Linked DNA regions of Sus scrofa. The protein of the gene in region 2 interacts with the protein of the main gene of each other region in a biochemical or structural test. Links are inferred from orthologs where the notes say so. Each region holds a gene or a part of one and is shown on either strand. Other genes may lie near its edges. The genes, in order: GCK and GCKR.

Region 1 (11,691 bases), on a different chromosome or scaffold from region 2:
GGTGTGTGTAACCGGCAGGCTAACTTGCCAGCTGGGAGGCAGGATGAAGCCTCAGCCCCTGCACACGCCCGCCTCCATCGCGGGCGGTACAGCTAAGTCATGACCTGGGAGTGCTGGAGTCGGGCTGCCTGGGTTTGATCCCCAGCACTGCCCACCGTGAGCAAGTCGCTGCAGCTCCGTTTTCTAATCCATAATGGGGGTGACAACACGCATACCTCATAGGGTTGTGGGGAGGCTCAAGCCAAAGAAGGATCCACTAATATTACAGTTATTTTCCAGAGACTCTCAGAAGGTAAGTGATGGAGCCACACTTTGAATCCGAGGCGCTCCCCCAACATGAGGGGCCGCATGTGAAGGCAGCACAGGGCAGAGTTCACGGGCATCTTTCTCTGGGCGCCTGTCCGTCCAGCCCTTCCCCTCCTCCCCGCCCACCCCACCCCCGGCCCCACCTTGTCGATGTCTTCGTGCCTCACGGGAAAGGAGAAGGTGAAGCCCAAGGGCAGCTTTTTGTGCTTCATCTGATGCTTGTCCAGGAAGTCGGAGATGCACTCGGAGATGTAGTCAAAGAGCTGGAAGATGCGGGCCGAAGGGGCCGTCAGCTGTGGCGGGCGAGCCGTGTGCCCTTGCTGAGCCACAGGCCTCAGGAAAGCATGGCCTCCGGCCTGCCCTCTGTCCCCCAGGAGCACCACTGGCTTCTCGGGGCTCGGGCCCTGACCTCCCCAGATGCCAGAGTCCTGCTGATGGCAGCCCTGGGGACAGGGCCACACCAGGACTTCCCAGCCCAGCTGTGCCCTGTCAGCCTGGCCTTCCCAGCTGGACCCAGGGACATCCAGCTTGAGGCTTTGGACAGAGATGCTTCCTTGGCTATGGCGATGATTTCTGATTCCAGCTCCCAGAGTCCTCTTTGCTGCCTCCTAGGGTCCTGGCTGCCCCATCCCTGGCTCTTGGGAGAACCAGTGGCCATCCCGCTCATGCAGGCCTGTCCCCAGAACTGGGCATTACTGAGTACTCTGCTGATTGACTAAGCTCCCTGATGGGTGCCAGGGCCCGGAGAGGCCCCCACACCATCCCTGCTGCCTTGATTCCTACCCGGTTCCTCAGTAGGCGCGGGTGTGGCGAGGACCAGGCTGCCACAGGCCTCCTAGCTTGAAACCCTGCCCCTCTGGCTCCAGCTCCCCGGCCCCCACTCCCCACAGGGCTCATTCTACTCCTGTGCTCCTTCTTGAGCCCTCCCAGGGTCAGGGTGGTCTCGCTGCCTGGGCAGATGCTGCAATTGCAGTCATGCCCCTGGCGTCCATGCTGAGGTGGGGAGGGGTGCCACCGGGGGAGGCGGTCAGCTGTGTCCCTGTTGGACCAGCGTGTTCTCTCAGCTGCCTTGCCACGTTTCTGATTCTTCTGGGAAACTGGGCAGGGCTGCGACCTGCTGGAGCCAGGCCGGGGGCCGGCCACCTAGGCCTCTCGGTTGCCTCTTCCTCCTGAAGCAGGGACCACCGCTCCCCCAGCCCCGATGCACCAGTGGGCCCTCCCTCCAGGACTAGCAAGCTCTGAGATCCTGGGCGGTGCGGCCTCCCGGCTCCCAGCCTCCCAGCCCCCAGCCCGAGCTGCTCACCATCTCAGCAGTGCCGGTCATGGCGTCCTCGGGGATGGAGTACATCTGGTGCTTGGTCTTCACACTCCACTGCCCCTCCTCGCCTTCCCCCACCTTCACCAGCATCACCCTGAAGTTGGTGCCGCCCAGGTCCAGGGAGAGGAAGTCCCCAACCTCTGAAGTCACGGGGAGGGGGGGAGCACATCAGTCTCAGGGGTGTTGCCCAGCAGGACCCCAAGACTGGGAGACCAGCAGAGCTGGACATGGGGTGGGGGAAACCCCAGGGTAAACTGGGCAAAGGGTCAGAGGTGAACTGGAGAAGTCAGTGGGACTCACTTGCCTTGGACTGAAGTCACCCTGAGCCCAGGGCCCACTTGAAGACCTAGTGAAATGGCCCAGACTCAAGACTGGGCTGGGAGTCCCCCTAAGGACCATGAGAAACCAGTTTCTCATTGTGAAATTTGTGTGTGTGTGTGTCTTTCTAGGGCTGTACCCGCAGCATGTGGAGGTTCCCAGACTAGGGGTCGAATCGGAGCTATAGCCCCCGGTCTACGCCAGAGCCAAAGCCACTTGGGATCTGAGCCGTGTCTGCAACCTACACTACAGCTCAGGGTAACACCAGATCCTTAACCCACTGGGTGAGGCCAAGGATTGAACCCGTGTCCTCAAAGATGTCAGTTGGGTTCATTAACCACTGAACCATGACGGGAACTCCTCTCATTGTGAAATATTAAAAAAAACAAAAAAACCAAAAGACAAAAACCCAGTTTTCCTGAAGCCAGGATGAGTCTGAAAGCCCCAGGGCTGGGCCAGTGGAGCAGAGGCTGGGAACTGCCCAGGGTCTGGAGCCCAGCATACTGGGGACCGGACAGTCAGAGCCCTTAGGAAGGGCCTGAGGGCCTTCTCCCCACTGGGGCCTGAGGACAGCTGCCTCTGGGTGAGGAGCTGCTGGTTCCCACATGGGGCCCACCCCTGCCCTGGACCCCGGTACCTGAGCCTTCTGGGGTGGAGCGTACGTAGGTGGGCAGCATCTTCACACTGGCCTCTTCGTGGGTCTCCAGCCTCAGGCCTCGGTCCATCTCCTTCTGCATCCGCCTCATCACCTTTTTCAGGTCCTCCTCCTGCAGCTGGAACTCCGCCAGGATCTGCTCCGCCTGCACAGGGAGGGGGGTGGGGAGCAGTTGGGTGGGGGAAGGGCCGTGCAGCGCTGGGGAGGGGGGACTGAGGAGTGGGTATTTCCTCAAATGCACCGAGGGGTCTCCTTTTGCCCCCTGACCCTGGGTCCAGGATGACCCATCATTTCAAACTACCACAATTAAAACCAGTTGAATATCGAGGACAGCAGAGTGCCACACCAGCTTCTCAAAAAATGCAGCAGGTGGGAGGGTGAGGGGCAAAGGGCAGATGTGGCGCCTCCATTTATTCATTTATCTATCCTTCTTTCTATCTATCTATCTATCTATCATTTTAGGGCCACACCCGAGGCATATGGAGTTTCCCAGGCTAGGGATGGAATTGGAGCTATGGCAGCTGGCCGACACCCCAGCCACAGCAACTCGGGATCCGAGCCTCTTCTGAGACCTACACCACAGCTCATGGCAACGCCAGATCCTTAACCCACTGAATGAGGCCAGGGATCAAACTTGCATCGTCATGGCTACCAGTCAGATTCACTGCCACTGAACCGCAATGGAACTCCGACAATTCACTGGATATTTGGACCAAAAAGGAAAGGGAAGATACTTGGATAAAAGCCATAGACCCGCTCTTCTCAAAAACTCACTCTCTTGCCTGCAGTCTTCCATGCAAGCTTGGGGGTGGAAATGCCCTGAATTCGAATCAGGAGGCAACAGAGATATTTGCCCCTTCTTCCTCAGTTTTGGGAGTCCACATGTTGTTGGGGGTGGGGGGACCATCACATTAAAGGAAGGCAGCCCCTCCCCAGGCCCAGGAGACAGCCTGTGATTGGGCTAAGCCAAGCACTGCTATCCTATCCTCTTCTGCTAGTGATTTGGTTTAGAGTTGGGCATGTGGCCAGTTGGGCATCTGGCCAATCAGATGAAGGGAAGCCTGATTTTAGAAGAAGAAGGGCCTTCTGGGAAGGTCAATGCCCCTCTCACTTTGTGAACACAGCTCTGTAAGGGTGTGATGACTGGCACTGCAGCAGCCATCCTGAGCCATGAGGCTGAGGGGAAAAAGCTGTCAGCACATTATAGATGGTGGAGGAGAGAAACAGAGTGAGCCCACCCTTGATTGATGTGCTGAGCCAACCCTGGATCCACCCACTTCTAAATGTTGGTTTGGGGAGCAAACGCTGATCACTGAAGACCAGCTAGTTGGGTGTTTAGCTTCCTGCAGCCCAAAGCATTCCTAATGGATACAGATCCTTACTTAGAACGAACTCTTTTCTTCTTCTTCTTCTTCTTCTTCTTCTTAGGGCTGCACCTGTGGCTGCAGCATATGGAAGTTCCCGGGTTAAGGGTCGATTTAGAGCTGCAGCTGCAGCCACACAGGATCCAAGCCATGTCTGCAACCTACACAACAGCTCACAGCAATGCTAGATCCTTAACCCACTGAGCGAGGCCAGGGATCGAACCTGTGTCCTCACGAATGCTAGTCGGGTTCTTAACTGTCTGAGCCACCACGGGAACTCCAGGAACCAATTCTTTTATTGAGACCCCCACACTTAAAATTTAAACCCAGGGAAGGTCACAAAGGGATGAGGCTGACAAAGCCTATGACAAAACACCCAATCAAACACCAGTGTTTGCTAAGCCACTCTGCAGCCCTGGCATGGGGTGGAGGTGTAGCCCACCCCAAGGCTGGCCTTGCAAGGTGCAGCCCTGGAGAGGCCCTCATGCCCTGTGAAATGATCCAGGCTGCAGGCTGGCCTCAGAGGCCCACGCCTTCAGCTCTGCCTGCCCCGTCTTTCTCTTTTTTTAAAAAATTTATTTATTTATTTATTTATTTTTAATTTTTCTTATTACTCAAATGAATTGATCACATCTTTATTGTATAATGATCATAACAATCTGATTTCACAGGATTTCCATCCCACAGCCCAAGCACATCCCCTCACCCCCCCCAACTGTCTCCTCCGGAGACCATAAGTTTTTCAAAGTCTGTGAGTCAGTATCTGTTCTGCAAAGAAGTTCTGTCTGTCCTTTTTTCAGACCATCTTTCTCTTTTAAAATGTCAGGAATAAATAGTAACATTAACTAATTTGCCGATTTCTTCCAACATGCCTGGTTGTTGAGATGCAGGCACATGCAGCCAGTGCACCATGGGAAACCAGGATCCAGAGCCTCATGCACAAGGGCTGCTGTCAGAAAAGGCTGCCTGAGGAGTTCCTGTTATGGCTCAGTGGGTTAGGAACCTGACTATTATCCATGAGGATGCGAGTTTGACCCCTGGCCTTGCTCAGTAGATTAAGGATCCAGTGTTGCCATGAGCTGTGGTGTAGGTTGCAGATGTGGCTCGGATCCTGCATGGCTGTGGCTGTGGTGAAGGCCGGCAGCTGCAGCTCCGATTTAACCCCTAACCTGGGAACTTGCATATGCTGAGAGCCCCAGGGCCTAAAAAGAAAAAAAAAAAAAAAAAAAAGAGGCTGCCTGGCATTGCTCTCAAAACAGAACTGTGGACCTCGTGGGCTCTGAACAAAAGTGATGCTCATCCTGCAAAGCCCCAGCCCTCAGGCCCTGCTGGGGTCGTCTGCTCTCCTTCTGTCACTGCAGCCCACCCCGAGGCTGTGAGCCTGGACTCATGAGGGGCCATGTTCCCATGGCTTCACCCCAGGCCCCTGTGGCACAGGTTGAGAAGGGTGCTGGAAAGTTCCATGGCCACAGCCCAACACTCCAGGTGGCCACGAGTTGGCACAGGCTTCCAGCAGATCTCCCCTCTGGCTGGGTGAAGCGTCCTCCAAGGTGGTACAAGCCCCTCCCTCAGGTGTGTTGGTGGGGCCTGCAGATGCTGCACACATGGAGCCTGCAACTTTAAGAGGAAGGGGCTCCAACGTGCGGGCATGTACCCAGGTGGGTGTGGGTGGGGCTGAAGTCAAAGGGCCAGGGAATGGGGCCTCTGCAAACGCTGGAGGCCCCAAGGGCTCCAAAGCCCATCCCTGGGCCCTAGGGGGCAGGGTGAGCCCTGTCGTGAGCCACCCTGCAGCTGGGTGGCTATGTACACACAGTGGGTGACCCTGGGCCTGTTGGCACATACTCCTGGGGAAGAGGATCCCCAACCTGCCAACGCCAGGCCTGCCTGGAGGATCCCAGGACAACCAGGATAGGAGAGCCCCTGAGAGCCCCGGGGCCATCCTGTTCTCCTCCTGCCAAGTCCCAGGCCAGGGCACCAGAAGCCGGGGTCCCAGGGGGCCATGGCACTGTCAGATGGCAGTGGCCCTGGCTGGAGTGTGGAAGAATTGCTCGGGCAGGAGGCCCTCCCATGTTTGGGCATGGCTGTGAGCTTGACAGTGTGTTCCTGAGACCTCCTGGCCAGCAGGCAGGGGCTGTGGGGCAGGGGGCAGGGGACAAGCTCCGTCTGTGCAGCATGCCCCAGGCTGCTCGAGGAGAACTTTAAGCCAGCTGAGGCTTTTGCAGCCTCGCAGGGCTGGACTCTGGGAGGGGCTTGGTAGCCCGGCGGATGGGGAGGGGTGGTGGGCTAGGAGCCGGAACCTGGGTTCAAAGCCAGAACTGAGCCTCTGGCTCTGTGGCCCGGGAGGGCGTGCCTCTGTGCTCAGTTTCCTTGCCTGTAGGGAGTGGCGATAATAAAAATGCCTGTATCCCCAGGGGATTAGGCTTAAAGGAGAACCGGGGATGTTCCCAGGGCCTCTGTGAGGCAGGGGTGGGAAGCACCTCCAGGCCTTCCCCTCCGTCTCCTCATCTGTAGAATGGAGCCTGCCTTCTCTCCTGAGCCCAAAGCGTGAGTGTGGCAGAAAGGAGACAGCTGTCTGCGTGGAGCCCCACAGACCCAGTCCCTGTCATCCTCGCCCCCCCAGCTCGGCCCCTCCCGCTTTTCTTCCAATCTGTACAGCCCGTGGCCTTGACCGCCCCGTGGCCTTCAGGACCATGGCATAGGGATGGCTGAGCGCTGGGAAGAGAGCTTCCACGCACGGAGAAGGGGTGGGTGGCCGTGCGGAAATCGGCTGGGTCTCGGCATGTCGGCCCGGTAGCCACGGGGAGACAGGTGCCAAGTGGTGGTTGGCTATGTGCAGGAGGCTGGAGCTCAGGGGACAGCCTGGCACTGGCAGCCCCAAGAGCATGTCCCCTCGAAGATGCTGTCCCTGAAGACCCTCCCTGAAGAGGTTGGACAGTGGGTGTCAGCAGGGGCCAACTGCCTCATAGCCAGGGTGCCTCCTTCCGGAGGGCCCAGCGCCACCCCAACCTCCACTCCACCAAACCAGTCATGCTGCTGGCGCAGGAAGAACCTGCCTCGGCCCCGGCCCTGGGGACGACTAGCCCTGGCCTTGGGGTGACCCTTACCAGATTCAAGGCTGTCCAGGCCCAGTTCCTTGTGGCCTCCGTTGCCATCTCTCTGAGGGGCCAAGAGGTTGGTTCTGGGGAGGTGGAGACACTCCTGTCTGCAGAGGCGCAGGGCTGGGCTGCAGCCCGGGAGTCTGAGGCCCACCTGTGCAGGTGCGGGCCACCTACCCAGAGAGTCACCCACGCGGGCTGCCCAGGGCTTTGGCACTGAGAGCATTCAGCAGGCGGCTGTTGAAATACTCTGCCCACTGGCACAGGGTCAGGCAGAGCCGGAAGGGCAGGAGGCCGGCATGGGGTAGGGGTGGTGACAGACAACATGGAGACAGGGCTGTGGGGTGGCGACCTCAGCCCATTAGGATGGGGATTTGCTGCCCAGAGGTTCTGGGAGGGGTCAGAACCAGTCTATATACTTCCAGCCCTTGGACAGGCCAGGGTTGGCCGTCGCCATGCTGCCCAGGCCAGGAAAGCACCCCAAAGGGCCTGGCAGGGGACTGCTGAGGAGCTGGCCCCGTGCAGGATGAAGATTCTAGGCTTGGCCTTGGGGGATCCCTGGCTGATTTTCACCCAGAGAGCCTGTGCTGTACTTGGGCCCAGGAGAGGCAGGCTGGTGGCAGGGGCCCTGAGCAAGGTAGATCCCTCAGGAAGCAGGGGTGCAGAGGCTGAGATGCGCGAGACTCCCAGGACTCTCCCCTTCTCTCTTAGGAGAGAAGCCTCCACATTTGGCCAGTCAGGCTGCCAGGTTGGTTGGGAGGGCTTGGGGATGCGTAGAACTCATTTGGGTCAATGAGGGCCAGGCCCAGGCCAGGGGCAGAGGCGGGGGCGGGGCAGGGGGTGGGGGAGGAGGGGTGGGGAGGAGGGGGAGTCGGGCTGGTGGGGGAGGAGGTGGGAAGCAGGCAGAGGCGGGGCACCATCTGGACGGCTTCCCCCACCCCACCCCCACCCCAGGGCTGCCCCCTAAATAAAAAATGCTTGTTTTCATCAGAGGTCTTCAACTGTAAATTGTCAAAACCTGCCTCAAAAGCTGGGGAAGGTCATTCTTGGGTTTGGAGCCTGCAAAGTCCAGGCCGGAGCTCATTTCAAGAACCATTCCCTTCCCCCTCCCAGCTCCCCGCCTGGGAGTGAACTTGTCCTGTCCGGAGAGGCCAGCATCTGCCAAGCCCTGCTAAAATTAGCAGGAGCTCGCAAGAGGGCCGGGGCGGGGAACGGCCGCTTGACAGAATGCCAGGCTCTCCCGCCAGTGGCCGGTGCGGTCATCCCTGAGGAAGCCCTTGACACGATTGATCCCTTTCCCAAAATAGAGCAAAAAGGGCTCCACCGGACCTGCATGTGACAGGTCACCGTCCCACCAGCCCCTGGCTCTGAGCCACTGTTTGCATGGGGGTGGGAGGTGCGGAGGGCTGGCACTTGGGTTTGGAGCGGGGTACCTTCTGGACCAGCCGGGCCAAGATGCAACTGTCCTCCTCCAGGTCTAGGCACATAGCACCTGGCAAGAGGATCAGAATCTTGCAGCTCTGTCCTCTGGGAAGTGGGAGTGGACAAGGGCTGGGGTGGAGATCCGAAGGGCCCCTTTCTGGTCTGCTGGATTTCCTGTGCCTTCTTTAGCTTGCACGTTGACCAGCAAGCATCCTTCCCCAGAGCCCTTCCGTGGGGCCACCTCCTTGCCTTCCCCAGCACCTGCGAGGGCAGGAAGAAGTCCAACACCCCCACTTCTGGAATCAATCCTCCAGAGCCAGCATGCCTCATGCTAGTTCTCCTCTGCTCACCTCACAGGAGGTGTGCCCTGTCTCACCGCCTCCTCTCTGGGGGAGGGAGTGACACTAGAGGGTCAGCACTGGGCTGGAGGCGAGGAGCCCTATATCCCCAGGGAAGAGGGCAGGAAAGGGAGGGCCTCAGAGACAATGGCTTCCGAGGGATGGCCGGGACTTTCTCGGAGTCTTCAAGGTCTCCAGGACAATATCCCGAGGACGGATGAATGCAGCTTCTGCTTAGCCTTTCTCAAAACAGAGCTGTCCTGCAATGGGCTAGGATGTCTCTGCAGATGGTGAGCTCCCCATTGAATGTGGAGAGAGGCGTGGGGCATTTGAAGCAGGATCAGAGGGACCTTGCTCTGTGTCCAGTTGGTATCTTCATCCCTTGGTTGCTCAAGGAGCTGACTGACAGGCATGATTTAATTTTCTTTTCAATTTATCCCTAGGAAGTAATCTGACAAGTTCGGTGATGAATGTTCTAGGTTACTCTTTCCAAGATCAAAAAGTAGGACATAATCCACACGTGTCACTTTAGGAAACTGGTTAAGTAAATTATGGTACATGTATAGTCCGTCGTTTAAAATGATAAGATTGATCTGCTTCCACTGGCATGGAAAGATGTTCATGACACTGTTGAATGAAAACGTGGTGACTGTACCCTAAGAGGGCCTCCAGTGAGCCCCACGCCTGGCCTTCATTCACCCCGTGCAGGCCCCTCGCATGCCGACCAGGCCTAGCCTGTGTGACGGACAGGCTATTGCAGAAGAGACGGAGTGGGACTTTGAGGGAGGCCATCCAAGGCGTGGACGTTTCCACTTTCCTTCCTATTGGATTCTTCATCTGGGGGGAAGCCAGCGCCAGGCCATGAGGACCCTCAGGTTCTAAGCGGGGGGGAGTCCGCTGAGAAAAACTGAGGCCTCCTGCTAATGGGCAGCTCCCACGTGCCAGGCAGGTGAGCAGGCCTCTTTGCGAGCAGATCCAGCGGCCCCAGTCGAGCCTTCAGATAATGCAGCTCCAGCCAACATCTTGACTACAACCTCAGGAGAGACACCGAGCCAGCACTGCCCCCCACCCCCAGCCCAGCCACGGCCGGGTCCCTGACCCACAGAAATAACGGGAGATGATAAAGGTTTGTTGTTTCAAGCCACAAAATCTTGATGTAATGTTTTTATGTAGCAATGGATGATAAATACTGAGGAAAAATAGTTATAAAATATAGCACAATCAATTTTTGTCTGCATATATATATTATACATAATAAACACATGGGGGAAATAGAGCAAAATGGCAATAGCAGTTATCTTGGTGACAATATGAGTGACTTCATTTTCCTTCTTGTTTACCTGTAAGTCCTACATTTTTCTGCAATGTGCATTAATGAAGTAGCACTTTATTTAATTAATTAATTAATTTATTTAGTCTTTGGTCTTTTTAGGGCAGCACCTGCGGCATATGGAGGTTCCCAGGCTAGGGGTCGAATCAGAGCTGTTGCTGCTGGCTTATGCCACAGCCACAGCAACGTGGGATCCGAGCCACATCTGCAAACTACACCACAGCTCACGGCAACATGGGATCCTTAACCCACTGAGCGAGGCCAGGGATCGAACCCGCATCGTCATGGTTCCTAGTTGGATTTGTTTCCACTGAGCCATGATGGGAACTCCATAAAGCAGTATTTTAAAAAGAAGTTAAAAAAACAAAACAGTTGGGCCTTACCTGCTAATTTTGCACTGAGGCTCTAAGGCCCAGACTCTGGAAAATGGAGGCTCATAGTTAAATGGGTCAAATTTCCAGTCCCCATATCACAGTGGGAAAGAAAGTGGGGCTGGGAACCAGAGCCGCCAGCATGCCAGCCCCTCTCCTGTGGCCTAACCAGCTGGGCAACCGTGTGGGCACTCCCTGAGCTGATGCAATGGGGCCAGGAGGTCAGCACAGTGTTGCAAGTGTTTGCTTAGAGCAAAGGCAGACGGGGATTGGCGGTGCCCTTGTGGAAGGGCAGGCCAGGGGCCTGGGGTAACAGGGCATCAGGGACAGAAGCAAGGGGGAGAGGGGCCGAGAGACAGCAGAGTGGGCTGGGGTCACGATGACCACAGCTGGTGGGGGCCCAGGGGCGTCACATGCCAGCTGCTATACTACGAGCTGCATGTGGATCACAACTGGCCTGCAAGCTTGAGGTAGTCATTTTAAATGTGGGGAAACTAAAGCCTGTGGGAGTAAGATCCCAGGGCCGTAAGCAACTTAGCCAGGACTCACCCCTAGGTCAGCCTGCCTCCAGGTGTGCTGACAGTTTAGTCTTCCTGACTAGATGGGGAGGTTCCTTCAGGGCCGAGCACATGCTGGGGGTCAGGAAATAGCCTCTAGAGCGGCTTCTGGGCTGGAGATTTTCAGAGACCTCAGCTTCGGCTGGTGGGGGTGGGAGCAGCAGGAGCTGCCACCCTTTGCATTGCCTGGCATTTGCCTCTGAGAGCAGGGGTGGGCTGGAGGCCTGGGGTCAGGTGTCAGAGGTGACGCCTAAAGGCTGGGGTCATGGGAGGGAGAGAGGCAGAGTGTGGGTGAGGAGCAGTGTGACTGGGGAGAGGAAGGCAGGCTTGGGGATCTTCCAGGGAGGCAGGATAACGTTGTAGTCACACAGGAGCATGAGGTCACCTGCCTGAGTGTGAAGTCTCTTCCATTCACTGGCTGTAGGACTTGGATAAGTCCCTAAATGGTATAGGCCTCAACTTCCTCATCAGTAAAGTGGAGGTAACACCTTACCTACCTCACAGGGCCATTGAGGGGCTTTGAAGGGAAAATGCAGGTAAGACTCTTGGCAATACAAGTTGTTCAATAATATGTAGCTATTTTCACTACCAAAGGATCCTTAGCCTCTGGGTCAGAG
Region 2 (11,746 bases):
ACAGAGCTTGTGTGTCACATGGAATCCCTGCCTTCCTATCTCACAAAAGGAAGATCAAAGGAGTTCCCGTCGTGGCGCAGTGGTTAACGAATCCGACTAGGAACCATGAGGTTGTGGGTTGGGTCCCTGCTCTTGCTCAGTGGGTTAACGATCCGGCGTTGCCGTGAGCTGTGGTGTAGGTTGCAGACATGGCTCGGATCCTGCGTTGCTGTGGCTCTGGTGTAGGCTGGTGGCTACAGCTCCGATTCGACCCCTAGCCTGGGAACCTCCATATGCCGTGGGAGCGGCCCAAGAAATAGCAACAGAAAAGACAAAAAAAAAAAAAAGAAGATCAAGGAGAATGGCACAGGAGCTCCTGTTGTGACTCAGTAGTAACGAACCCAACTAGTACCCATGATGATGCAAATATGATCCCTGGCCTCGCTCAGTGGGTTAAGGATCCGGTGTTGCTGTGAGCTGTGACGTAGGTCACAGACAGGGCTCAGATCTCGCATTGCTGTGGCTGTAGGCTGGCAGCTGCAGCTCCAACTTGACCCCTAGCCTGAGAACTTCTATATGCCATGAGTGCAGCCCTAAAAAGCCAAAAAAAAGGAGAATGGCACAGATGTGCCCATCCCTGGCTGCAGGGGCAGGGGCAGGGATCCGGCTAAGGCCCTTGTAAGGTCAAAGGAAGGGCAGACAATGCTAGTGAGATGCAGCCACCATCCAGAGGAAAAAAGAACAGGCGCACTGAAGGCTCAGAAGGCCCACATCAATTTTGGAGAGTTTTAGAAAGGCAGAGGAATGCAACTGCATCACGTTTTCTTAAAAGCCCATATTTGAAATTTAAATGTATAAAAGACACAAAAAGAAATTCACTATCTTATTCAATACTTCCTACACACAGATTCAAAAGAGCTTCTTTAAACAGAAACTGCCCTGGACCATTTAAGTGTTTAATGATGACTGACTCAAGAGACAAGGTCAGAATGGAAATAAAACATCTTAAGGGGAAAAACAAAATGAGAAAATAGGGTTCGATTTACAACATTTTAGTAGACGCACAACACCAGGAATTTAGACAAGATGTAACAGAACCTAAAATCGGAGGCCCTAAGTAGGGACAAGGGGGAGGGGAGGGGGCAGGTCTCACCCCAATTGCAGGATTGAGCACAAAAGCTTCCTGTTTCTCTTGCAGTTTCTGCATCCGCTCTGCTATTTGCCGGAACGTTGAACTCCAGTCTTCAATGGGGTCATTTCTGGGGCCCACAGAGAGACAGAGGGGGGAATTATCATCTGTGAGGATCTAAAGGAAGGGCCCTGGATGGGAGCTGGGATCAAAGACCACCCTGGGGTAGGGGTCAGAGGTCAACCACTTCCTAGAGAGATGTGCTCTGATGCTCATAGCAGCCGCTGTGTCCCTGAACCACATGGATGAGGCTTAAAAAAACATCCAGCAGTTTAAGCCCAGAGCACCAACACTCGAGTGTGATGTTCCAGCCTGAGCCCAGAACTCTGTGTCCTGGTCCTCGCGCAGGTCCTATGGCCATGACCACACGAGCTGCACCCTCTGCAAGCCCCTGGGAAAATGCCTATCATCCGAATATCTCAAAATCTCCATCATATTTTCCGTCTTAGGGTCCATCGGAAGCCTTTCCCGTTCCAAGAAACATATTCTAGAATCTGTCCAAACTGTGAACCCCTTGCTACCCGAGGGAAGAGGTAACAGTTGCCACTAAAAGAACCAAGCTGCAAGATAGGAAGTGAAGCAACGAACAGTAAGGAGACATCCCTTGAAGAAATCGATCAGGAACAAAACAAGGTGCCGATGAGGAGGGCAACAGGCTTGCCCTCAGCTCAGGCGCAACCCAGAGATCTCAAAGAGCGGGGAGCTTCTGCAGTTGGCTCTCCTGGCTTTGAAAGGGGATCACTGGTGAATCACGCATCACGGCAGGACCTCAAAGAGTTCCTTCTGTCTATGGCCTCCCACGCTTGCTGTTATCATTGCATTCCTACAAAGGTTCCATCCCTTCTTGAACTATTTTTATTTTTTTTCCCATCCCTCGGATTTCTGCAGTGAATACATGGCACATGTAACACACCCATTGGGTAAAGTGTTTCCTATCATTTGTCCTCAAACTACTTCTGACACTTCCTAGAGACCTAAGACAGAAAAGAAGCCTCAGCAGAGAGCGGAGTCAGTGTTCACTGTGCGGTTGAAAACTGAGACTCCCAGACTTGGCTGGTTATCAAAACTACCTACAGAGGTTTGGTTTTTTAATAACGACCCATGTCTGGGTTCCATGCCCACCCTGAGAGGGCATTTCAATAGTTCTGGCACGGAGCTCCCCAGATCTATATTTTTAAAAAGCTTCCCAGACAATTCTGAAGATCAGCCAAGTTGGGGAGCTACTGATTTAAGGAACAACTGGAAGATCTCCACGCCTGCATTGTTTGAAATCCTTCATTTCACTTAGTCATAGTGCCTGAAATTAGCATCCACTGCAGCAGATATATTTGTGGTGAAGGAAAGTCCTCCATTAAAAGAGATCAGGCTCTTTTACACCTTCGTGTGAATTACACTACACGGCCTGGAATCTGGGAGTTTAAAAAGGAGCTCAGAGAGAACTCAGCTGTCCCTCTCCCAGAGACCACCACTAAATACACCAAGCTGCTCTCGAGTAATCACCAAGCTTCGGCGGGAATACCTCCAGGGACGGGAAGCCCTCAGCTTCACGGGGCAGCCCACTCCAATGGTTTATTTAGCAGAGCTTTCCCAGCCTGGCTGTGCAGCAGAATCTCTAGCGATGCTTCCAAAAATTAGATATATCAGGGCCTTACCCCGAACCTACCACATCAGACCTCCCACATAAGAATTTCTCTCCTTTTTCCTAACAGTCTCAAGGCAGGGCATCCACAGGATCATGCCTGAGCATTACTGGTTTGCGACACTGGCCTTCTTTGAGATCAAAGTGGCCATTTAGACAGAGAGTAAGAGGGAGGTGACTAGAGGCACAGGGATCTCAGGAAAGGGGAACAGGGTGGGGGAATGTGAGTAGCCAGAGGGGACCAAAGAAGCTTCTGGAATGAAGGACAAAGGGCTCTAATTTAAGGCAGCAAAGGAGACTAGGAAGCCAGTCAAAACTCAGCAGCTACTCGTCTTTGAAAAAAATGCTTGAGACCCTCCTCAGATGAAAATACAGATCTTTGGAGTTCCCGTCGTGGCACAGTGGAAACACATCTGACTAGGAACCAGGAGGTTGCAGGTTCGATCCCTGGCCTTGCTCAGTGGGTTAAGGATCCTGTGTTGCTGTGGCTGTGGTGTAGGCCGGCAGCTGTAACTCTGATTTGATCCTGAGCCCGGGAACCTCCGTATGCCACGGGTGCGGCCCCAAAAAGCAGAAAAAAAAAAGAAAAGAAAAGAAAGAAAGAAAGGAAATGCAGATCTTTGTGGTATGCATTTTCCTGACTCTATTCCATCCGCTGACCCTCGTTTTCCTTGCGTCTTCTCCCCCTGCTTTATTTTATTTTTTAGAGGCTGAAAACTTTTTTTATTTCTCAGTGAATTTATTACATTTATAGCTGTACAATGATCATCACAATCCAATTTTATAGGATTTCTATCCCACAACCCCAGGAGGCTGAAAACTTTTAACAGCAGTTATTGAACCATGACAAGTTTATGCCGTAATTGATTTTGATGTATAATTAATGAGGGACAGATCATTACAGCGAATATGCTCCGAAAAACAAATCAATGCATAGCCGCCTCATACTTTGAAAGTCAGCGGATCTGGCGTGGACTCAACTTCTCTAGGTAATGTGAATCCCCTCCTGCCTCTGAACCGACATGAACATCCTTCTAAGGCAGAAATCAACCCAACCTTTCCTCAGCTGGCAACACGATTCCATAACAAACACTCCTCAAAATCCCTACATAGGGTCAACTGGATTCCAAAGCAGATCTTTTCCAAGATACATGGGAACTTTAGCTTTTCTTTCTATTCTTTCTTGGGTCTGTTCTTGGTCAGAGTTGTAGCAAAAATTATCAGGGATGGTCCAGGTCTTCACTATTGTTGATTCTTTTTTTTTTTTTTTTTTTTTTGTCTTTTCTAGGGTCACTCCTGTGGCATATGGAGGTTCCCAGGCTAAGGGTCGAATCAGAACTGTAGCCGCCAGCCTACGCCACAGCCACAACAACGCGGGATCTGAGCCACGTCTGCGACCCACACCACAGCTCACTGCAACGCCGGATCCTCAACCCACTGAGCAAGGCCAGGCATCGAACCTGCAACCTCATGGTTCCCAGTCAGATTTGTTAACCACTGATGCCACTATGGGAACTGCTGTTGATTCTTGTTTGAAGAAAGATTTTGTTTGCAGAATCTAGTTTTATTCACTCTCTGCCTTTTCTTTTTTCTTTCTTTTTTTTTTTTTAAACCATTGCACCTGCAGCATATGGACGTTCCCGGGCTAGGAGTGGAATTGAAGCCACAGATGAGGCCGCAGCCACAGTCACGCCAGATCTGAGCCGCATCTGCAACTTGCAGCAATCCTGGATTCTAAACCCACAGAGGGCGGCCAGGGATCCAGCCTGCATCCTCAGGGACACTGCTAGGTCGGGTTCTTAATCCACTGAGCCACAATGAGAACGCCTCCCTCCCTGCTTCAAACATACGCCTTCTTGTGTACACACCCTTTGTTGGCTGCCCTCAATCCTTTCTGAAAGGAGAGCATAAGTCAGCCCAACCAACCAACCAATCAACAAAAAACCTCATCAGCTCAGCAACACCCCATATTTAATATTCTGAGATTTGGTGAACAAGACCCGATTGGCCCTGCCCTCTCCTTAGTGACTGTCCCCTTGGTTTTCCTAGGTTGCCTCCCCGCCTCCCCTGGGGGTCTGGCCAGTTACCACCTTTCATTACAGTAGGCTCACCTGGCCATGCTCACTGGGTTGAAACCAACCAGGACCGGCAAAAAGACGGCTGGGTTATCCATGCAGTAGTCCATCTGGCCCGCCACAAAGGGAGCCTGGTGGCAAGAAGAGAGAGGAGGGCATGAAGATGGGGACGGGGCGGGGGTGGGGGGGTACTCGAGTCCTGCCTGAGGACCATGTGCATCGGAATCCCCGCCCCCATGCTTGTTTAAATGCAGGTTCCTGGGCCCCGTTAAAAGCTACCAGTTCCAAATTGGAAGTGTTGAGCCCATGGGACTACATTTACAACCAGCTCCTCCCAGGAAATCTTCTGCACGGTAACGTTTGAAAATACTGAACTAGGAGTTCCCATCGTGGCACAGTGGTTAACAAATCCGACTAGGAACCATAAGGTTTCAGGTTCGATCCCTGGCCTTGCTCAGTGGGTTAAGGATCTGGCATTGCCATGAGCTGTGGTATAGGTTGCAGACGTGGCTCGGATCCCGCATTGCTGTGGCTCTGGCATAGGCTGGCAGCTACAGTTCTGATTGGACCCCTAGCCTGGGAACTTCCATATGCCGCAGGAGCGGCCCTAGAAAAGGCAAAAAGGCCAAAAAAATAAAAAGGAAAAGAAAAGAAAATACTGAACTAAACTGTAAGTTCCATGAGGCCAGAGTCCTGCTCTCGAGTGCCTCATTCCACTTCTAGCGCTTGCTGGGGTCCAGTTACTGCTCAGTGACTTCTAAGAGCCAGAGTCAGGGCTGCAGAGTGAAGGGGAAACTTGGGGTCCTCTAGTCCAGAGCTTCTCAAATAAACTACCTGGGAAACGTGCTAAAATGCAGATTCAGACTCACTGGGCCTGGGGTGGAGAGGCCCGATACTCTGCCTTTCTAACAAATCCCAAGTGATGCTGAAGCTGCTGGGGTGAGGCCCGCCCTTGAAGCAGCAAAGGACTGGTCTGGGGTCAGATTTGGCTGTAAAGAGCCAGAAAGCAAATATTTTCGGCTTCGTGGGCCCTGTGATCTCTGTCCAACTATTCACCTCTCCTGTTGAATTGAGAAAGTGGTCATGGACCACATGTAAGCGCAAATGGCCGTGTTCCAATAAAACGTTATTTACGAAGACAGGCACCCACTGGATTGACCCGCCGGTGTCAGTCACCGACCCCCGGACCTCTCCATCTGTTCTGGTTGTCTGGCGGACTGACACACAGTTATTCTGAGACAGGATCCCTTCCCCCCTTGTCCCACATTCATACAACCGGATCCCCGTTAGTGAGAGTAAAATCGAAATTCCTTACGCAAACCCTGTTTTCTAGCTACAGCTAGACGATTGCGGTTGATTTCTCTTCCATGCTATTCCACCCTCCCCCCTTCCCTCCGGGGAGACTGGGCCACCCAGCCTGTCTCACACTCACAGAGAGTCCCACCGAAATGCCAATGACGATGACCCTCTTCTTCCCAGCCGCCACCTAGGAGAGGAGGAAGGGTGAGGTGGGTGCCACCAAGAGGATTCTAGGGTACAAACCTACTTGTGGGGATGTCAGGGCCAAGAGCAGGAGAGGGAATAGGCTTTGGCTGGATGTTGGGGCATCGATGTAACCCCAGTGGAAAACACAGACCTTCTTCAGCTCCTCAATCCCGTGCAGGGCACTATCTTCTGTCCCCTCCCTAGAGGCCACCACAGACCTAAGAGGACAGACTCAAGGTCAGTGGCACTGGTTGGGAAGCAGAAGCCTATGGTTTATTAGGGCTGCTTTAAGAGAAGGGAATGAAGGGAAAACTAGCACTGAACGAGCACCTGCTATTTCTTGGGCACCACAACAAACACCCTATAGGGTGGAAAAACCTAACTAGCTACAGGGGTTAGTCAGGGGCCCATATGTATGAGAAGTGGGCCAGGTCTGAGGCAATAAGGAGTGGAGGGACCAAAGCGAACCCGTCACCATCTCCACGTAAAAGCATTCAAACTTAGTTTCTAACAAGTACGGTGCAGGCCAAACTAAATATGCACAGGCCAGCTGGGCTTACCTGTCTCCTCCTGCAATGAGGTATGTGTAAAGAGGTTTCTGTCCTAGACCTCTCATCAGCTGGTTAAAGGAGACCTGCCAAGGGGGAGAGGACATCAGGGAGGAATGACAAGGAAGGAACAGTTATCTTGGATTTTCAACACCTACACGGTAGAGGCTGTATAATGACTCTCCCAGGTCAGTGCTTAAGCTGACACTGCTTGGAATCTGATGCTTAAAGATGCGGCTTAGAGATGATTAATGGGGTGTGGGGGGATGTAGAGGCACTAGCAATAGACTGGTGGAGCTCAGATGGGCTCAGAAGAAACGGGACTCCATGGTGAGATTGAGCTTTTATTTCTTTGTTTGCTTTCTAGGGCTGCACCCGCGGCACATGGAAGTTCCCAGGCTAGGGGCTGAATGAGCACTGCAGCTGCAGGCCTACACCACAGCCACACAACGCAGGATCTGAGCTGCGTCTGTGACTGATGCTGCCGCTCACAGCAACACTGGATCCTTAACCCACTGAGTGAGGCCAGGGATCAAACCGGCATCCTTATGGATCCTAGCTGGGTTCGTTACCACTGAGCCACAACAGGAACTCCTGAGGTGAAGCTTTTAGAGAAGAAAGAGCCAGAGCTAGAAGGGTCCACCTAGGAGCTTAGCTATGATGAGCTTTAGGGTCCTGAGGGTTACCCAGAGAAGGCAGAGGGAGCCAACCCGGGGATCAGAGTACTCACCGACATGAGGAATGCCATCCTGCCAGAGGTGCCCCCTCCACTCAGCACCACCAGCCCCCCTTCAGGCTCCTGAGAGGAGAAAAATGCCCAGGTCTCCAGGACCCAGCTCAGCTCGAGGGCCACATATTCTCTTCTTCATCAGTAACAGAACTGTCCTCTTACCCCAAAAGCAAGCACAACAGAGAGGATGGTGTAGCAGAAAGACCCTTGGATTCGCTCAAGAAACTTCGGTGTGACACCCCCCCACCCCACCCCCACCTTAGCTACTTATTCAAACCCTTGCTTATTCCAGCACGAGCTGAAAGCAGCTTTGTCATCTTTAAATAGACAGACAGACGGACAGGGAGACAGACTCGGCATAATTGTGCAACTGTTAGTCGCGATGTATTGGAGCAAGCTACAGTGATTATCTTAAGTCTCTGTTTTCCCATCTGGGGAAAAAAAAAAAAACAACGCAGAGACAATAAGAGCACCTGCCCAGGTTTTTGTGATGGTAACGCGGATGAAAGCGCAGGGCGGGTTACAAAGCCATAGGCAGTAAGAGTGATTACAATTACTGTCCATTAGTAAGACATTCATAAGGATCCAAGAGGGAAGACCCGGAGAAAGCAGGACTAAGCTCTATCAACGGGGAAAAAGGGAGAGGAAGGAAAGAGACAAGGATGGGCAACACACATCTAAGCAGGGCATGGATGGAGCGTTGGTACCTTCAGCACTTCCTGAACTTTTCCAGCCACTTGTACCATGGTGGTCAGAGTGGACTCACTGTAGAGTCGCTGGAGGCAACAGGCGGGCATCAGCAGCCAAGGAAAGGCCGGTGGGTGGAGGGGTGAGGGGTCAGGTGGAGACACTCTCCAGTTTCAAAAAATTAGGGACCATGGTCGGGGAGGGCAGAGGTTGAGGTGGGGTTGGGGCTGGGGCTGGCATCTTTATTTGCAGTGTCCAGGGGATGGGGCTGGGTCACCTGGTATGTGGGCATGACTTGCCCCTCCTCCTGGAAGATCTCAGCATCACACTGCCCCAGCAATCGAACAATCTCCTTGGCATCTGCTTTGTCCAGGTCCTGGGTCAGTGGGTTTGACTTCTCCGTGATTGGCAGGGCTGCCTCATACCCGGACAACTAGAGGGAGGGGGTGGACAAGGTTACAGGCAGGGAGCAAAGCCTCATTCAGGCCTGCGGAATTGGAGGTGGGAGTGGCCGTGGGCTCAGTGCTAGGACTTACACACACACACACACACACACACACACACACACAGCATTTAGCCTGCACTTGGTACTCTGGGCCTATTAGGGAAAGAAGATCAGTGTAAATCAACCACACTTTAATAAAAAGAAAAAAGAAAGAAGACCAGGAAGGAAGATGGGAAGGAGAAGGGGGGGAGCAGAAACCTGGGGTGGAGGGAAGTCCCGATGAGACAGGATTCTAGGAATCAGCCCAGAAGGCCAACAGGAAGAAAGGGTCTCACCTCCCACTTGCCAGGCTCCGGGGTCTCAATCACATGTTGAAAGCGTTTTGTGCCTGGCATGGTCCAATGCTGTGGACACACCGTCGAGCCTGCCTCTCCAGCCACAAAACCCCTTCTGTCCCACTGACTCTGCTTCCAGCTGGCAGGCCCTTATCTGAGCCACAGTGATGATTAACCCAAGTACCCTGGCCTCTCTGAGCACCACCCCCTCTGAGCACTTCTGCCTTCACCCTTTCCTGGTCACTAGGCCCCCAGCTCTCTGGCCACCCCAGAGGAGTTCCTGAGGTCCCCCTTTGCAGGCACCCGGAAAGGGGACAGCCTCTGCTTTGCCCCTGAAGAGGAAGACTGGAGGTTCATTACTCCTGCCCAACAGACCATGTCGTCTTCTCTGGAAGGCCTGGAGCCTAGAAAGACAATACCCAGATCCAGGGCAAAAAGAACCCTGGGCATGCATGCTCCAGAACCAGGATGCATCAGGAGGCCAGAGATCAGGGTTCTCAGGGTCAGCAGAGGTCGGAGGACCTGGAGCATGGCTTGATCACATGCTCAGCACACACAATCCTTCCTGCCCTACTTGCCCCATTCCCCTCTCCTCTCAGAAGGAAAGCAACAGAAGCTTCAGAGCCCCAGGGGGGCACACACTGAAGTGCCCCAGAAATAGCTATACTGCAATGAGAATTAGAAAGTATCTGCCCTAAATACAACTTTAGCCAACATTTATTTACTGAACAATGCTTCTCACATACAGTATCTCATTAGATACAATAACACTAAGAAGATGATATTTAAAAGAATGAAATTAACACCATTGGCAGCAACATGGGTGGACCTAGAGAGTCTCATACTAAGTGAAGCCACTCAAAGACAAAGACAAATACCAGACAATACCATTTATAGGTGGAATCTTAAAAAAAAATGATCCAAACGAACTTATTTACAAAACAGAAATAGACATAGAAAACAAACTTATGATTACCAAAGGGAAAAGGGGGGAAGAAGGGATAAACTAGAATTTTGAGATTAACAGATACACCCCACTATATGTCAAAGAGACAAACAACAAGGACCTACTGTACAGCACAGGGAACTATTTTCACTATTTGTCATAACCTATAACGGATAATAGATAAAAAAAATACATACATATAGATACAGATATAGCGGAATCATTTTGCCGCACACCTGAAACTAATACGGTATCGTAAATCAACTATACTTCAATTTTCAGATGATGAAACTGAAGCTCCGTGAAGTTAGGTCAGTTGGTGAAGATCACACAGCTGACAGAATTGGGACCTATACCCAAGTTCTCCCTCCAGATCTCATGCTCAGCCAAAGCATGAAATAACTGAAGGATTTCCATGTTTATTGAATGAAGTAATTGACAAACTGGTGAAAATGAATAACAATCTCTCATCCACACAGGGTTGTAAGATTGATAAAGCCCATTCCCCAACATTGTCTCATCTGATCCTCACAACAGCCCTGTAAGGATCTGCACGCTCTGATTTACAGTGGGAAAACCTAAGACTTACATTAACCTATTTGTCCAAGGCCACACTAAAGTAAGTCGCAGAGCTAGAACAAGAAACAGGTCGTTGCTCTTTAAATTTCCCCTATAAACCCAGCACACTTAATGACAGCTGAATCGGCAACTTTGAACATGTCAGACGCTCAATAAATATTTGCCTAATAAATGAAGGAACGAATGAGAGAATGAAGGGAATCAATATCAGGTTATGAATGGGGAAGACACTTAAAAGCTGACGCAGTCTACAAGTAGGAGATTGTCAAAATAATTATTATCTCCATCACTCTGTCCCCTCCCGCACCGGGGGTGGAATTCCTCTTCCCAACTTGGCTAATTCCATCTGGGGAGGGAGGGGCCTCCCAGGTGCCCGAGACCCTCGCACCTGCGCCTCTCCCGACGCCCCCTCCCCCTCTGCCGCCGGGGCTCCTCGGATGGTGCCGGGATCAGAAGGGATGGGGGCCAATGAGAGGGTCGTGGGAGGAGCCCCGAAAGAACCGGGTTGGGGGGGCGGTGATGACGGCGGTGAGAACCCCAGCGGGGCGGGGCGGGTCTGCAAGTCCCGGCCGGGCTGCGGCGGAGCGACCCGGGCCAGCTCTGCAGAAGGCGGCGGCTGGCTTCCCGGGACGGTCACATCTCGCTGCAGGAGCCCGGCGGAGGCAGCCGCACTGCCTCCCGCCCGGGGCACCCAGGCCAGCCGCCAGGCCGCGCCGGCACCGCCCCCTGCTCTCGGACCCACTGCGTGGCGGGTCGGAGCTCTGGGGGCTCCGCAGCCCCGCGGCCCGCGCCCACTACCCCTCCGCCCTCTGCCCGCAGCTCAGTCCCGCGCTGCCCGCCTAGCCGGCCCGGCGCCGGGATGGGGTAGGGGCAGCGCCACGGAGTCGGGCGATGGGCCGCCCTCTGGGCACCGAGCAGCCCCCCGAGGCCTGACCGACCGCGAGGACCGGCGGAGGTGGGTGTGGGCAGAGCGGGCCGCGCACTGGGGGAGCCCGGGGTGTTGCGGGGGTGGGGAAGGCCTGGGGGGAAGCGGGGCTCTGGAGCTGCTGTGGGCGGAGGGGAGCCCGGGTGAGCTGCTGCCCACCCGTGCATTCTGGCCAGTCCTTGAC

The links.
Region 1: the proteins of GCKR (region 2) and GCK form a complex in vitro, tested with the Homo sapiens proteins (2 studies listed by BioGRID and IntAct, with this or other methods). The link is inferred for Sus scrofa from reciprocal best matches to the Homo sapiens genes GCKR and GCK.

What each region holds. Positions count from the first base shown.
Region 1 is NC_010460.4:51,004,986-51,016,676, reverse strand, and holds the start of GCK (glucokinase), read right to left. Parts: upstream 7,759-11,691; 5' UTR 7,384-7,758; coding exon 7,066-7,383; intron 2,743-7,065; coding exon 2,580-2,742; intron 1,765-2,579; coding exon 1,610-1,764; intron 570-1,609; coding exon 450-569; intron 1-449. UniProt on the Homo sapiens protein: Catalyzes the phosphorylation of hexose, such as D-glucose, D-fructose and D-mannose, to hexose 6-phosphate (D-glucose 6-phosphate, D-fructose 6-phosphate and D-mannose 6-phosphate, respectively).
Region 2 is NC_010445.4:111,667,530-111,679,275, forward strand, and holds the start of GCKR (glucokinase regulatory protein), read right to left. Parts: upstream 9,727-11,746; 5' UTR 9,173-9,726; coding exon 9,113-9,172; intron 8,766-9,112; coding exon 8,610-8,765; intron 8,422-8,609; coding exon 8,353-8,421; intron 7,715-8,352; coding exon 7,646-7,714; intron 7,002-7,645; coding exon 6,928-7,001; intron 6,586-6,927; coding exon 6,519-6,585; intron 6,369-6,518; coding exon 6,315-6,368; intron 5,014-6,314; coding exon 4,919-5,013; intron 1,239-4,918; coding exon 1,133-1,238; intron 1-1,132. UniProt on the Homo sapiens protein: Regulates glucokinase (GCK) by forming an inactive complex with this enzyme. Acts by promoting GCK recruitment to the nucleus, possibly to provide a reserve of GCK that can be quickly released in the cytoplasm after a meal.